2 linked regions of the Schizosaccharomyces pombe genome follow. The protein of the gene in region 1 purifies or fractionates together with the protein of each later gene. This does not show direct contact. Each region holds a gene or a part of one and is shown on either strand. Other genes may lie near its edges.

Region 1 (3,932 bases):
TTTTCGGTTATAGCGGCCACCTATTGGATTTGCAGCAGCAAGGATAGATGTCCGTGCGTTTAATGTAGCTTGAATTCCAGCTTTTGCTATAGATATCGTTTGTTGTTCCATTGCTTCATGAATAGCAACTTGGTCTGACAGATCCATTTTATCGAATTCATCTATAGCACATATTCCATTGTCAGCCAACATTAAAGCGCCTGCTTCTATAGTAAAATCCCCAGTTTCTTCGTCCTTAACAACTGCAGCTGTGAGACCGGCCGCAGATGATGCCTTTCCAGAAGTGTAGATTGCACGAGGAAGAAAATTGCAAACGTATTTAAGAAATTGTGATTTCGAAGTACTGGGGTCGCCGACAATACAAATGTTCAGGTCGCCACGAAGATTTATACCTTCAGGAGTTAACTTGTGAACACCACCCATTAACTGTAAAAGAATCCCCTTCTTAATTATTTCATGACCATAAACAGAGGGAGCCAGTGAGTTTGTCAAACGAGAATAAATATGATCTGAATGCACCATCGCACGTAAATCATCAATTTCTTCTTGAGAAAGCGATTGCAAAAATTCATCTTGCTCTTCGATCCCTTGAGAACCATCCCCTCTGACATCCGCACCGCTTTTATCATTTGCATCATCTGGTTGAACCATGCAAGCTAAAAAAGATAGTTTATATGTAAGATCACGTACACCTAAAGACTTCAGTCCTGTCACACCATCTGCATCTCTACCACCAAAATTGCGAGAATCTCGATAAGCTTCTGGCTTTACACCAGGAATTCCTAGCTGTGAGACATCTGGAACGGCAATAAGAATTCCCGTAAATGCGCATTTGTCACCAGCCTTAGCCCTTTCAACAATATCTCCGCGCAAAATTACGTCCAAAGTTCGTGGCATAGAACCCGTAGGAATCTCGTTGCTATTTTCTTGAATGCGCACCTTTTGCCAGTCCTGAAAAGAAGACTGTGAAATATTGAGCCGCCAACTTCTTTTATTAGCACAAAGTTCATTAGGGCATTGAGTTGGTTCAGTATAGCGAAATGCTTGCTCAACATTTGAAACTACAGTGTGGCATTCCTCACAGATAAAAGTACCTTGTGCTAATTCAGGGCGTACTTCAGAAGTACGAGTAACTGTACCTGTAATAGTCGTGAGTCTACCGATACGATCTGTTCGTAAGTCCCGAATTGTGGATCGAAAGGGTAAATTGTAAAATGCAAGAGCAAATGTTTTGTCACTGGCTTTAAAGTTCGGTGAAAGTGAAGCATTTTCACGAGAAAGAGAACTTCTATAATATTCTGGTTCAAACTTTTCAATCAACTTTTGTAAAGCTCGAAGTAAGAAAGGAGAAAATCGATAATATTGCTCAACTATCGCAAGAGCTAACACATCATTGTACGAGGTTAAATGCTTATAATCAACGTAAACGGTATGAATCTCATACATTGCCAATCCATGAATCTGTTGAACATAATATTTCTCTTGTGATGCAGAAGGGAGAGCATCACCTCCAGCAACGCGGTCATCAGAAAATGACAATAAAAACTCTTCAAAGGCTTCACGTACTGATTCTCCGGTTGTATCAATTACCTTTGGTATGGCTTCTCCTATAGCAGCAAAAGGTTTCCTTTTCACCATTCCATCATCCTCGAGCATAGCACTCGACTCAGGTTGTGAAGGCATACTTACAGTTGGCCTGTCCCCAACTTCTGAAGTTTGAAACCCATAACGATATGCAGGAGTTGAAGCATTATTACCCTGAGATGCAAGAGAAGACATCTTCAAGTGTAGTGCTCCCTATTATCAAAAAACTGCAACTACAGGTTTTTGGTCAAAGGATAGCAATGTTTATTTTGAAACGTTTATTTCTGTGGTTGCTTTGGTGCGCTAGAAATCGCAATTTAGAATTGCAAATTACAGTATTATACCTTATTCGTTTCAATTAACAATATGTGTTAAAAAAACCCAGTCTGAACATTATACCACATATTCCAATATATACTATGGTAAGAAAAAAATTCTTGAATTATCTCTATTCTATGCTTCTTTCATTTATTAACGATTGTAGGCAGACAGGTTGCGCTCTCAAGCAAAACTAGAACAGTTACAAGCGCGTTATGTTGGTGTCGGTAATGCGTTTACCACCAAATAGTAAGTACTAATCGGTTTATTTGACAAATGAATTTTCGCTCACCATATAAACTAGTGAATGGATGGTAAATCAGCACCGGGATACTTTGTCTTCTGTAGTGGGGCATCCACCGTTGCTCGCATATATGGCAACGGCGCTCGGCGAACCGAGAGTCCAAGTTCGCAAAAACCTATTAGAAAAAATGATCATGCCATGTGGACCACCTCCCCCTTCTAATCAATTTTAAAGTGTTGTGTTTACCTGTTGCCCAAAATTAATGTCGTTAAACCTTCGCTCGTCTGAGACTTTGTTTGTTTAAGATAAACAGTACCTACTAGGTTATTACAAAATAATATATATATATATATATATATATATATATTAATTGAATTATATGCAATGCTACATTGATTATTGTTCATTGTAACAACGCAAGACATTCCCTAGTCGTTACCTTCAAAGTAACACGAATAAGTTTTAGCTATTTATCTCATTTACTACGAAAGCCTCCTTTGGAGTAGTTTACTTAAATTGGCTATATGTTGAATATTTTCATGCAAACTCTGTAACAATAAATACATTATATGTTGCATGAGATTATTTTGTTGCTCGCAGGGAATACTTCTGGCCTGTTTATTGAGAAAAATGGTCAAATACTACTGCATCCATCTGTTCAACCATTACACCCTGGTGAACGAGAATTAATTAATGACATAGTATCTTTGGCAAGTAAAAGGAAAAGGATAGAACGATATATTGAAATTTTTGATGAAGATTTGATTCAGCAAAACCAGTTTCTTCTTAAAGCTCTTAGACTTCTGCTTTCGAAAAAATTATTTCTTTATGATGAAAGTCTAGCTAATTTAGAGCGGATGATTATATCCAGCGATCCTTATTTTGTAGGTTCCGGAAAATTCGTATCCTTGGCGCAATTAGAAGCGCATTTAGCAGATTGGAAAGAAACTTTATCTAGTCTGCTAGTACTTCAAGGTAATATTTCTCAATGCTTGAGTGTAGCTTCTACGTTTCAAAAGCTGCATAATATGTATATGGGCTCTACTCATTTGAATTTTAAAAAGCTGGTTTTAGAGTGTGAATGTGCTTTTCAGAAGACTTGGCTTGACGAATTAGTGCAGTATTTGGTAAATGATTCCGGCGATGACAGCTTCAAATGTTCGTTTTTATGCGGTGATACTAAAGATTTTGTATCTTGTAGCAATAATGTCCCTTTTTTGACCCAAGACATCGTTAATTGCTTAGTTTCAATACGAACGTGTATGCTCAATGCAAAAAAATGTTTCACAGACGCTTTCTGTGAAATTCTTAGATGTTTCTACAGACTGGTATATGAAATGCCTTTGCCTTTAACGAAATCTTCAGTGACAAAATTAGCAGATGAAATGTTCACTCTGGTATCAGAAAAAATAATATTTCAATTAGCTTCGTTTCATCAGATTTTCGATTTGGTAAAAATGCTAGAGATGGTGATGTTACTTGAAAATGTTGAGTTTCTTCCAACATTATCTGAAATGTTCAGAGACGTTCGTGGTGAATATTGCAGTTCAAATGACGTTCAAGGGGTAGTAATTGATGATATTTTACCCGTTGTTTTAAGGAAAACTATTTCTTTACTTGATCTCGCTACTGAATATGGAGAATGTGTATCTTTTCTAAAACTTGTAAGTATCTTTGATGAAGAAGATGAAATGATTCGCTCTGAGAATCGTAAAATCGATGTAGAGGGACTCAATATGCAACTGTTATTGTGTTTAAAATGGCCGTTCAATTTGTTTATGGATAA
Region 2 (3,932 bases), on another chromosome or scaffold:
TTTTTTGACACTCAATCACACTTGCTTCAAAACAGTCCATTTGCAAAGTAGCAGATGTCATGTTTGCAACCTCTTGAAATGCAACTCCAAAACGATTGTGTCCATGACCGTCGTCATCATCGTCATCTTCATTGCTAGTAAAAGCGGAAGTAGAAGTTCCAACTATTAAGTACCTATTTTTTTCCTCTACAAAAGCTGCTAAAACAAGAGGAAGATGTCTAAGCTTTCCAAATTCTCGTTCTTGCTCCTTCAAGTGTTAGTCAAACGTTAAAATCAATAGACACTTACATTAATAGCTTCAGCAATCCAAAGACTCATCTTTGTTAACGCAAGGGGATGCATAAATATTTTCAGATCTGGTCCTTCGTTGATAAGTCCAAAACGAAAAGATCTCAACGTTTTAATGGCTCTTTTTTCAAGTAAGGTGATTCCAGTACGAACAATGGCTCTTTGTAAGTGCATTGCTAACTTCAATGCTCTTTCTAATGAATCGACATCGTCCAAGGCGTCGTATGCATCATAAAAATTGTGCAACCATTCTTGATTTTGAGCATTTTCAAACTTCTCCAAATATTCTTCCTCCGTCATATCCGGGCTTCGAGCGACAGTTTTGCTTTGAAGCAAAACACCTGTATTACCCATTTCTAATAATGCACTGATAGCATAAGAAACGTCACTTGCACTAAGTGTACATTTGAATCCATAAGTCCGAGTAAAACTATGGAATATCACATCGTCTAAACCATAAAACGGTGCAAATCTTTTAAGACTACTTTTCAAAGTTTTTTTTAAATCCATGTTCATGTGAATATAAGTTTGTTTACACTCCACCAGACTGAGTCCCATTTTTGCAAGAAGCTTATGTAGTCGTTTGCGTCCTTCCTCGCTCCAAATGTGAAGTCTCGAACCAACGTAAGCAGAATGAAGCATAGAATCATAAAGACTCCAATGTCTTACTAGCATAAAACGAAATTCATCTTCAAGCCGAATTGACTGATCATGGGGTGTCTTACCATGTGCGCGACCGACTATTTGATTTTCAAGTGGTGAAGGGTTCAAGCGATTGACTTCATCTTTCAATAAAGAATAGGACCTATTGAAGTATTTTTTTGAGGATTGGCAGTGAATTTCCAAGCAGGTGAGCCCAACAATCGCTAACCACAACATGTCATTATCCTCACGTCCAAGCATGGATGCTACTGCAAACAGGATATTGGTAATTGACTCGCCGTACCAACTTCCTTTCTCATAATATTCAGAAAGGATAGAGGCGAACTCTTTCCGTTTTTTCCTTTTCTCCTTAATTTCAGCTCGACGTTGCGTCGTTTCCTCTGAAAAACGCCTACGACTTCGTGCTTGATAATCGGATGAGCTGTAAGATTCCACAGATCGGTTGTCATCTTCGACTTCCTCCTCTCGCTCATTACTGGAATCGGAATTTTCTTCATCTGATAGCTCATGCGAATTAAATGCATACCAAGCATCATGAATTTTATTCATGTCTTCTTCAATATCTCCATCGTCGAAAACAAAAATATTGTTTTCAATGTATATATTATTTAGATTATGCGGCCTATGAGAATCAATTACATAGATAGATACGTCTTCCATAGAAACAAGATAATTATTTAGATCCACCATCGTTCCACAATTCAAAAGTATAATGAATTTGATATCTTCATTTTGCTCTAGCAAAGTTTTATTTGCTTGTTCAAGGTCTCGATAGCCCGATACAGGCCTAATTTTATGTGAAATAAAATCGCCTTTCAAAAGTGTGGACAATAGCTTGCATGCACAAAGCGCGTCTGGGTCTAAAGCAACAAAGAGCTGAACTGTGCATCCACCAGATACACTTGCTTCTTTAATTTTCAAGTAAGCAGAGGCGTAATCGGATCTCTTGATGAACATTAATAAATAAACGTTACTGGTGGTGGATCATGGAGGAAATTACCAGGTGGTCAGTACAAAGGAAGGTAAAGCACTTTGAGTCGCTTTATATTTCCTAAACAATAGCGCATTAATATACAAGTCAAAGCTACGCAATAGTAGTTACAAAAAAAAGAAATTTTTGTAGGCATTGCAAACAACCCTTTCTCATTTTATGCCAAATGCCAAAAATCATATTATAATTACTCTAGTTACTAAATTTTTCACTTGAGCTACCTAAACTATCGTAAAAATAATTTGTAATCGCTGTTTTCTGGTGATATAATCCAAGGTGAACATGTGCACAACGAATTTATTCCGAGCGTTCGAACATTTCGTCTTTGAATCAGTGTAATAAAATCTTAAATTAAAAACAGCAGCAACTTAAAATGCGTTCCATATATACAAAGATTCGTCCCAACCAACACTTGCAATCCAAGATCCATCGCCGAAATCACTCCAATCAACATCACGGACAAATTCAGAATGCAAATCAACTTTTCTTATGCAAGAGTGCTGTTCCGGGTCAAAAATTCGAGAAGTCATATCGTAACTTGCTGTAGCCAAAAGATCATGGGCGGAATTGGACGATTTTATACTTCGAACAGCAAGTTGGTGACCAGACAATACGGACAGAGGCGTCTTTAAATTCGCGATATCGTAACAGTAAACCAGATTGTTATTGTCGGCCGTGTAAACCATACGATGATTAGACTTGCTCCAATTCATGCAAGTAATTTGATTCGGTATTTCAATGGACATAAATTTATCGGAAGACCGGAAATCCCAAAATTTGCATAATCCATCACTTGATGTATACCCGAGTAAATTTGGAGAGCTATAATGTGTAGCAACTGTAAGAATCCTTGAATTCGAACCATTGTTGAGCGTCTGCACACTGTTAGGCAAATTGCCTAACCATAATTTGATAGTCCCATCCCAGGAGCCCGTAACTACAATTCTTCGATCAACCGTATTTGTGTCTATTGCGACAATCTCCGCTTTATGCTCTTTCCATTTATGGATGGGCTTAGAGGGCATAGTCAAATCAAATAGTCTCAAAGAACCATCACCACAGCAAGCGTAGACTTGATTTTCACAATTCTGAGACCAGCGCACACCAAACAAAGAATCCTCGACATCATAGCTAGTATTTAACGTTAGATAAATTTCATTTCGTAGGATTTAGAGACTGTTTTCATCATAATAACTAATGGTTAAAAGTGTTTTGTGCAAAAGTCTAATAATGAAGAGCAGTAATCGCACAATTACTTACTGTTGGCAAACTTGAATTCCTTTTGGCGTAACATCATGAATATAAAGACGTCCGCTTCCGCCTAATCCATAATGGGTGACAGCTGCAACAGCGATCTTGTTTTCGACAAGTGGAGAGAATTGAACACTTTCACCTAGCGAATATTGTTAGTAACGATGTACAATTATGCATTCCAAGATATTTATTTTGTTTTGTTTTCTTTTTTTTTTTCCAATAAAAAGGAAGGAAAATTAAAAGGAAACAAAACAAAACAAAACAAAATAAAATAAAATATAAACAAAATAAAGAAAATATTCAGTAATAACAAAATTTCGTATTTCTACATCATTTGAATTTAGTTTAGTTATAGTTCGGTAATATTCGTTCATTTTATTTGTATTTTTCTCAAGCAGTTGTACTATCGCTAGTACTAGTACCATATAATATTTTGTCTTGCTTCGCTTCCCTTTATTTAGCTTACCTTGAAACCCAGGAGTCCTCAATGACAGCATGGGCAAATAAACACAAGCACGTTGCCCTCGAAGAATTGCTCGTTTACAAGAAAAAAATTCCAGTCATGAAACGGAATTATTTCGCAGCTCGGCTTAGATATTTTTCTTATATAGTTTTGCCAATAAGTGTTTCTACTTATGCTCCAAGCAACTTTTGCTTTTTGCCCCGTCTCGTTTCTGCTCTATTCTGCTTGGCTTGGCTTGGCTTTGCTTTGCTCACCAAATTTTGAGAGCGAAGC

Evidence for each region.
Region 2: the proteins of mcm6 (region 1) and cdc45 purify together in Schizosaccharomyces pombe (affinity purification with western blotting; 3 studies listed by BioGRID). This does not show direct contact.

Annotation. Positions count from the first base shown.
Region 1 is NC_003423.3:3,881,218-3,885,149, forward strand, and holds the start of mcm6 (MCM complex subunit Mcm6), read right to left. Parts: upstream 1,841-3,932; 5' UTR 1,780-1,840; coding exon 1-1,779. Other genes in the region: sap10 (splicing factor 3B), read left to right, coding at 2,004-2,006, 2,069-2,151, 2,207-2,378; gamma tubulin complex GCP4 subunit Gfh1, read left to right, coding at 2,716-3,932. UniProt on the Schizosaccharomyces pombe protein: Acts as a component of the mcm2-7 complex (mcm complex) which is the putative replicative helicase essential for 'once per cell cycle' DNA replication initiation and elongation in eukaryotic cells.
Region 2 is NC_003424.3:4,722,779-4,726,710, reverse strand, and holds the start of cdc45 (DNA replication pre-initiation complex subunit Cdc45), read right to left. Parts: upstream 1,940-3,932; 5' UTR 1,909-1,939; coding exon 289-1,908; intron 248-288; coding exon 1-247. Other genes in the region: pex7 (peroxin-7), read right to left, coding at 2,311-3,073, 3,203-3,335, 3,663-3,693. UniProt on the Schizosaccharomyces pombe protein: Required for initiation of chromosomal DNA replication. May have a role in regulating the MCM proteins nda1 and nda4.